Ovis aries: one gene and its partner. The protein of the gene in region 1 interacts with the protein of each later gene in a biochemical or structural test. Links are inferred from orthologs where the notes say so. Each region holds a gene or a part of one and is shown on either strand. Other genes may lie near its edges.

What was found.
Region 2: the proteins of SLC9A1 (region 1) and TESC form a complex in vitro, tested with the Homo sapiens proteins (4 studies listed by BioGRID and IntAct, with this or other methods). The link is inferred for Ovis aries from reciprocal best matches to the Homo sapiens genes SLC9A1 and TESC.

Annotation. Positions count from the first base shown.
Region 1 is NC_056055.1:239,812,622-239,817,136, reverse strand, and holds the start of SLC9A1 (sodium/hydrogen exchanger 1), read right to left. Parts: upstream 2,904-4,515; 5' UTR 2,105-2,903; coding exon 1,753-2,104; intron 1-1,752. UniProt on the Homo sapiens protein: Electroneutral Na(+) /H(+) antiporter that extrudes Na(+) in exchange for external protons driven by the inward sodium ion chemical gradient, protecting cells from acidification that occurs from metabolism.
Region 2 is NC_056070.1:58,034,851-58,038,595, reverse strand, and holds part of TESC (calcineurin B homologous protein 3), read right to left. Parts: intron 775-3,745; coding exon 635-774; intron 1-634. UniProt on the Homo sapiens protein: Functions as an integral cofactor in cell pH regulation by controlling plasma membrane-type Na(+)/H(+) exchange activity. Promotes the maturation, transport, cell surface stability and exchange activity of SLC9A1/NHE1 at the plasma membrane.

The DNA of each region.
Region 1 (4,515 bases):
TCAGGCCTGCACGGACCAACTCCTGGCTGTCCAGAGTAGGAGCTTAGTGGTCATGCTGTCGACCTACCAGAAATCACTGAGCCCCACGTGCGTGCACTAGTCCCCCCGACCCCCCCCCCATACCCTAACACAATGCCAGGTGCGGCTGGGAGGTGACGGGGTTGGAGAGAGGAGGAGGGCAATTTATAAATAGTGCCTGTGAGGCCTCTTCCTGGTCTCACACAGGCAAATGACACACCAGTCACTTCAGCTTCTTACAACAAATTAGGACACAGGGGCTTCAGGATTCAATGGATGGTCAAATTTAGAGATTCTTGCCGGTTTCACAGGTGGGCGAGACCTGCAGAAAAAAGCCCAGTTTGTTCAAGGTCATGTATTTGTCAGAATCAGTACACACGACTCCCCTTGCCCCGGCCTTGATTTTTTTTCCAGGCTGCCATCAGGGGATAGGTGCTGGTGGCCCAGCCCGATGTACAGGCCTGCCACTGTCACAGCACCGAAGCCCTGAATCAGGAAGCCAGCTCCTAGATCTGTCACGACAGAAGCACCCGAGCCCTCCTGCAGCATGTCCCGGAGCCTGCCTCATACCAGCCTGGCATCGCCCTCAGCTCCCGCGTGTCCTTGGGAGAGCTGCAAGGCTTCCTGCCAAAAATCACAAACTCTCCAAACCCAAACCAGCAGAGTCCCAGGCCCTCGTGCCTTCCACAGCTGGCTGGGGGCTAAAAAGGCAAAGGCGGATGTCAAAGCCCCCCAGGACACCACTTCCAGGGACTTCTGGGTCGGGCAGGCTCTGGGGAGCTCCAGCAGCATCTGGAACACCTATCACCTGGAGCATCTCCAGCATCTATCACCCAGCAGAACAGAGTGCCCAGACCTAGCGGGGAGACAGCCTCTGGAGGGGAACCACTTTTCTATTTCCTTCTTCCAAAAAGAACATTTCAAAGTCTCTTCATATCAGAACATTCTGAGCTTCTCCACCCGTCCCTCTCCCACCTGGCTGAGTAGCAGGCAGGCCACCATGACTGGCCCGGCTGGACAGCACTTTGAGACGCAGCAGGGTGCAACCTGGAGGTGAGCTTGACCATCCTCCACTCCCCCTCCCCCACCTCAAACCAGACTTCAGGAATTCCCAAGGCCCCCTGTCCCATAAACTGTATAAAGAATGGCATTCCCGGGCAGGAAACTGACTCAGGGGCTCCTGACCAGCCTGGGCAGGCAGAGCTGATGGATAACACTCCAGGGATGAAGGAAGGAAGGTGAGAATACAGTGATGCCTCATCTTCCACCACACCTGTAAGTCTCCAGCACACACGTTGCCCACTCTACTCAAACTCCTTAGGCAAACCAAGTAGAAAGATCCTCCATCCTGAAACAGCTTTCCATGAAGCATGTAATTACACTGGTGGCTGGTGACAGAGCAGACTGTGTCACTTGCTGAAGACACGCCTGTCTCACACACACACAGCTGGGCACCTGGCTCCAGAGGAGGCCGACCAGGCCTGGGAGCCTCGCTGAAGGTACCTAGGACCAGAAGCATCCTCCAGTCCTGCTCTCTCCCGTGAGCAATACCCCGCTCCCATGTGAGGAGGCCGCAGAGCTCAAGTTTGAGAAGCATCAAGATGGCCGGATGGAGGCCGCCTACTATACAGAACCAGTCCAGACCCTCATTCCTAGGCAGCTTCAAGTGGTAAGGATGGGAACAGGCTCCTCAGCTAGGTGACAGCGGAAGCATCGGGGGCTAGGTGGACTTACCTATCTTCATGAGGCAGGCCAGTAGGATCCAAAGGGCGATTTCGAAGGGTGTGCGCACGTGTTGGTAGTCGATGCCCAGGACTGGAAAGGCCTTTCGAGCCTTTGGGCTGTGTTCAGCGAAGGAATGGTTAACTGGGCGGCTCTCGGGGGCGAGCTCCGGTGGGGCGGTGGTGACATCCCCAATTGAACGTTCTCGGGGAGGCTCTGAGCCTCTGATGGTGCTGGCGGTAGGGCTGGGCTGGAGGCCATGGCTTCTGAGAACCGGCAGCAGCCCCACCAAGGCTACCACCACAAGCAACGACGGAAAGATTCGAGGCGGAGGGAGGCCACTGGCGCCAGACCACAGAAGCATCCCGCTGCTTACCCACCCCCCCGACCCTTAGCAAAATAAGAGTAAGACCTGGGACATAGGTAGCAAGGGGTCAGCAGGAGGGGGCAGGAGAGACTGCGAGAATCTCTAGGCAAAGTTCATGTTTGAGAGATGTGTTTTTGTGGAAGCAGTCCTCTGGAGGTGGAAAGAAGGCTGGGTTCCCGATCTAGAACGCCAAACTGGGGAAGAGGGACCAGGACCCAGTTAGGACCATAAGAGGAGACCAAAAGGTTTGGAACTCCAGGCCTGGGAAAGGGGGTGGGGGAGGGGAGAGGCAGCACCCTAGGGACAGAGGAAGGAACAGGATGGGGCCGCAGGCAAGGAAAAGGGAAGGCGGGGACCCTCTGCTGAGAAGAGTGGCTGAGCTGCTGGGACTCTTGCTAAGGGAAGGAGTAGAGAGCCTGAGCTAGAAGAAGGGGATCGAAGGGGGTGGGACCCAGTCCAGGAAAAGAAGAAAGGGAGCTGAGAGCCCAGGCTGCGAGGAAGGAGTGAAACCAGAGAGCGGCCGGGAGCTTCCCCACCCAAAGAAGGACCGGGGTGCAGGCGCGCCGGGCTGAGATTCCGGGGAAATGGAGGGAGGCGGAAGGCGGAGGCAGGCGGCCTGGAGAAAGGGCGCCTTGGCGTGGGCTGGGGGCGGCTCGCGGTGGGCCAGCAGCGAAATGCCCCTCCTTGCGGCCCCGGCGCCGTGCTGCGCTGCACCCTGGCCCAGCTTCAGTTCCTCCGCGTCCAGCTCCACTTCCAGTTGCAGCCCCAGCCCTGGCACCGGCGGCGGCTGACTGCTGTCTACTGAGCTCGGTACTGCCACTTATAGGCACCAGCGAGCAGCCGGCGCTGCGGGCTAGAAGGACCTGTCAGTGCCCGCGCGATGCAGCGACCCCTGTCGCCGAGGAAAGGAAGGATCGCGTCGAAAGAGAAGGGAAGAGTCAGAGATGGCCAAAGTCCAGCATCTAGAGATTCTAATTTTAAAAAGGGTAAAATGCTGTGCTAATGACAAAGCGCTGTTCACATCCACCTTCGCAGTCTCATGGAGACTTCCCAGGAAACGTGAATGATGTTTTATTGCCTTAGACATTTAGTTACCATGCGACCTTGAGCAAATTACTTAACCTCTGTTCCACAGCTATCTCATCTGAAAAAGTGGAGATAACAGGAGTACCTATACCTGCTGTAGCAAAGTATGTTGTGTTAGTGGCTCCAGTCGCGCCCGACTCTTTACAACCCCATGGACTGCAGCCCACCAGACTCCTCTGTCCATGGGATTTTCCAGGCAAGGATACTGTAGTCGGTTGCCATTTCCTTCTCCAGGGGATCTTCCCAACCTAGGGATCGAGCCCTGGTCTCCCACACTACAGACAGGGTCTTTATCGCCTGAGCTACCAAGGAAGCCAGTAGTAAAGTATAAGTGACGGCTAAATGAGATAATCTATGCAAAGTGTTTAGAATGGAGCCCAGGATGTGGAACCATGATGATGCTTCCAGCTTTGCAGATGAAGAAATAGGTCAAGAAATTTCCTTGGATAGTATCAAAATAGTTATGTTGAATTTCTAGGACCTCTGTAACAAAGTTCCACAAACTGAGTGGCTTAAAGAATAGAAATTTATTGTCTCATACACTGGAGGTTAGAGGTCTGAAGTCAAGGGGTCAGCAGAGGACTTCTGAGGGTTCTGAGGAAGAATCTCTTCCAGGTATCTCTCCTAGCTTCTGGTGGTTTGCAGCAATCTTTGGTGCTCCATTGTAACACCAGTCTTCACTTTGAGAGGGTAACAGGCAGGAAGGCCAGGGGTCTCTAAACAGAGGAAATAGTTTGTAAGTGTCAGACATTTTTATCTTTTTTAAGCAGCAGGAGGAAACAAACTAGTGATATTTAAAAAAAAAAATAATCTGCCCTTCTTCAAAATTCAAATTAATCATTTTATGGCCCCAAATAAGCCATTTGGTGCCAAAATTATCCCAAAATACATCTTATGAGTAAGGGGCCTGGTGCCATTCTAAGTTTTAAGACATTCCTTTCTTTCATTAACAGACTGCTAATAACTATATAATATCCAACTAAAGACTAGCAGAGGGGGTACTCTTTCTGCCCCCCTCTGATGCCTGTGTCAAAAACTTTATCTCCTTTATACTTTAATAAAACTTTATTACACAAAAGCTCTAAATGATCAAGCCTCGTCTCTGGCCCCAGATTAAATTCTTCTCCTCCAGGAGCCAAAAATCCCAGCGTTGTGATTCAACAGCAACCTTTCAACTTGGTGATCTCTCTGGGCCTCTGTCTCTGGGTCCAGGATTCCCTCTTTTTTCAAGGTTTCCAGTCACATTGGATTAGGGGCCCACCCTAAAGACCTGCTGGGCTTCCCTGGCGGCTCCGATGGTAAAGAATCTGCCTGCAATGTAG
Region 2 (3,745 bases), on another chromosome or scaffold:
CCCCCTGCCCCCAGCAGCCCTCGGTCCACATCCCGAGCTAAGTATAGCCCAGGCCCGTGTTTACATTCCCTGCAGACGCTGCTCCCTCGGGGGCGGGGTGCAGAAGGATGCTGGGGTCATGGGAAAGAGCACGGGGAGGGGTGGGCGCTGCCTGCCCTGCACTCAGACCCAGGGCCAGAGCGGCTCCGAGCGTGGGCCATGGGCCCACAGAGGCCGCCCTGGGAAGCCGAGTCTGGTGGCGGGCCATGGACCGGGGCGAGGGACAAGAGCAGCCCTGAGGTCTCCTCCAGCCTCAGAACCAGCCACGTGTCCAGCCCGCGTTCCCACCGTCAGGTTCAAGGTCACACAGCTGCTTAGTGGAAGGGCTGGATTAAACTAAGTCTGTCCAAACCAATTTCCCATCACCGACAGACCCTTCTATTTCCAGAAAATCACCAGTTGCTGAGGAGTGTCAACAAGGAGGCTGTCTCAGAACAGCCTAGGAGAGGGAGCACCCTCTGTGCTGTGAAATTCTCCTCCCCAAGGCCCAGAGCTGGTGCTCCCTGACCCTCCCCACCCCCCGAAGGGGCACAGCAGGCCTCGGGGACATGCGAACGGCCAGGTGCGCCCTGGGGAGGGGCCCCGGGACACCCACATCTCAGCTTCTCTTTCCGGCACAGCTGCACCTGCTCCTCGTCCATGGTGGTGTCGATGGGCCGGAAGTAGGACATGATGGTCAGAAAGTCCTCGAAGTTGATCTCATCGGCCAGGCCGCTGGACCCCTTGCGCAGGTTCCTGCAGGAGCAACAAGGGGGTGTCGGCAGTGTATTCAGAACAGAAGCTCATCTCACTGTCACCCACAGCCCCAGAGAAACCGGCCCTTCCAAGCACTCGCTTCACCTACAATGGCTGTCCCAGCCTTGGGTTCTGCTACCCAGCGACCAGCTCGTGGGGGGTACCGGGGGCCCCCTGGGGGGTTAGTCCAGCCCTGTGCTGCACTCCCCGCACCCAGAAACCAGCATGTGGGGGTCTGGGGGAGACACAGGCAGCTGTGTCTGTGGGGCGGGGGCTGCCAGGCATGCCTGGTGCACAGAACCCAGGCAGGTGAGGCTGGGCTTTGGGGGGCCACAGACCCTACTGGGTAGCCTCCCTGGGCCCACGGGTAGCACCTGGCACAGCGCCAGGCCCAGTCGGTGTACAGCATGGGCTCGCTGTCATTAATTTTATTATTAATGAGGCGATTGTGGCCTGGAGGGCAGGGGTCTCTCTAAGGGCCCAGCTGTTCCCTTCAGATCGAAAGGGTCAGGGAGTCACAAACTGCAGCCCAGGGGCCAAATCCTGCCTGCTGCCTGTTTTTATATAGCCCATGAGCTAAGAAGGGTTTGTATGTTTTGATATGGCTGAAAAAAAAATGTTAAGGGGGAAAAAAAAGAATAGCATCGCATGACAAGTGAAAATTACATGAAATTCAAATCTGAGCGTCCAGAAATAAAGTTTTATTGGCACACGGCCACGCCTGCTCATTTACATGGTATCCGCGGCTGCTTTCAGGCTACAAAGGCAGAGCTGAACAGTTGCAACAGAGACGATGTGGCCTGCGAAGCCTAAAATATTTACTCTCTGGCCTTTTAGAGAAAGTTTGCCAGTTCCTGCTCTCTATCAGCTGTCTGAAACTCGGGCACAGTGATCTGTTGGCAGGCACTCTGAGTAATCTGTTTCCTACCAAAGTGTGAAGTGCACCAATTAACTGCAGGTTTTCTAACAGATCAGGGCATGTTTGAGGTTGTCCCCGCCAATGTATTTTTCCTAAGGGGTGGGAAAGGGCTTGAGTTCCTGGCGGGACTTGGGGAGGGTACCCAAGGCTGGGTCCATCCCATGCTGAACACACAGCGGGTACTCAGCAAATGCATGCGAGGGCACCGACAAGCCAAGTGCAGGTCCTGGCAGAGGAGCTGAGAAAACAGCTTGGAGCCGACTCCAACCAAACACGGTCTCCTGACCCACTGCTGCCATACTCCTACCACTAATCAACTTCTACTGGGGCAGGTCGCCATCTGTCTGATGGTCCCCCTGCCCTCCCTGTGCCTCCTTGCAAAGGGACAGTTCTGTTTGCCTGGGATGATGGTGCTTCTCAAATGCACTTGGGTGCCTCCTGGGATTAAGACCACATCTCAGCTTAAAGGAACATGTTCAAGGTTCTCTCTCTAAGGGCCCAGCTGTTGCTGTTTTGTCGCTAAGTTGTATCTGACTCTTTGTGATCCCCATAGACTATAGCCCACCAGGCTCTTCCCGTGGGATTTCCCAGGCAAGAATACTGGAGTGGGTCGCCATTTCCTTCTCCAGGGGATCATCCTAACCCGGGGATTGAACCTGCATCTCCTGCATTGGCAGACAGGTTCTTTACTGCTGTGCCACCAGGGAAGCAGGGGCACAGTTGATCCCCTTCAAATCCTGCCCCTGCAGCTTCCACCACACTTCACAGTTTAGAGATCTCACTATCCCCAAGCTTCCGTTCCAGGAGATTTTCCAGAAAAAAGTGGCCCCTGAGCCTGGATCACAAAAGGTGGATTGTGAAACAACAAACTAGAGAGATGAGAGGAGATCTCCCCAGGACTCAGTAAGCCTAGTCTTTGAGTGTGTGTGTTTTTTTCCCCTCAATTTTCTCTGAAATCATCTCTTACAAAGGTTTCCCACTGTTCCTCTGGACAGATTTTTAATAACCTCAGAATTCCTGCTGTCAGGGGCACAGACCAGACTTACAAGGTGTAAAAATAGCCCCAGGCATCACCAGGCTCCTAGGAGGCATGGTTCACTTGCATCTTCTTCTCAGGGGCTTCTGGCTGCAGCAAGGGGGATAGAGATGAGCTCGGGGAAATGTGACGGACCCTGGGCCGGGCAGGCCATGTGTGTCTGCTTATCAGGGGAGGCTGTGACCTGGCTGCTTCAGCATCAGGACCCAGTTCTGGGGCAAGGGGCTCCTTCCCATCCTAATGTCCCTGGGAGGTCTATGTGGGCCAGCTTCCTGGTCTCTCAAGGCGACCAGAGGGCAGAGGCCGAGGAAACCCAGACATAGCGCCTGGAGCCGGGCCCACCTGCTCTCCACTCCAGTTTCCAAAGCGGGCACCCTGAGGCCAGGGTCAGCGGGTAGAAGACTGGGTGTGCGTGCCAAGTCGCTCCAGTCGTGTCCTACTCGTGCGACCCTATAGCCTGTAGCCCACCAGGCTCCTCTGTCCATGGGACTCTCTAGGCAAGAATACTAGAGCGGGTTGCCATGCCCTCCTCCAGCGGATCTTCCTGACCCAGGGAACCTATCTCACGTCTCCCAAGTCTCCTGCATTGGCAGGCGGGTTCTTTACCACTAGTGCCACCTGGGAAACCCTAAAAGAACGGGGGCTACATCCAAATCTGCAGCCCTGCATCACAGCACTCTTTTTGCAAGAAAGCCTGCTTGAGTGCAGTGTTTTCACTTCCTTAATTCTCCAGTGACTGTGAGGACCAGAACCCTTGGAGGTGGGGACAGACCTGGCTCAAACTGCCTTCCAACCAGCTTTTTGCTTCACTGTCTTGTTCCCAAAACGCCTTAGGATGCAAGGCAGACCCTGGTACTCTTTGAAAGGAAACTCCCGCCTCCAGCCTGTCCTCTGCCTCCTCCCTCACTCCTTGGCAGAGCTTACAGGACAGAAATGCAAAGGACGCACAGGCGCTGAGCTGTTCCAGGTCCCGGCTGGGGAAGCCTTTCCTCAGGCCTCCTCTTCTTGTTGACCTC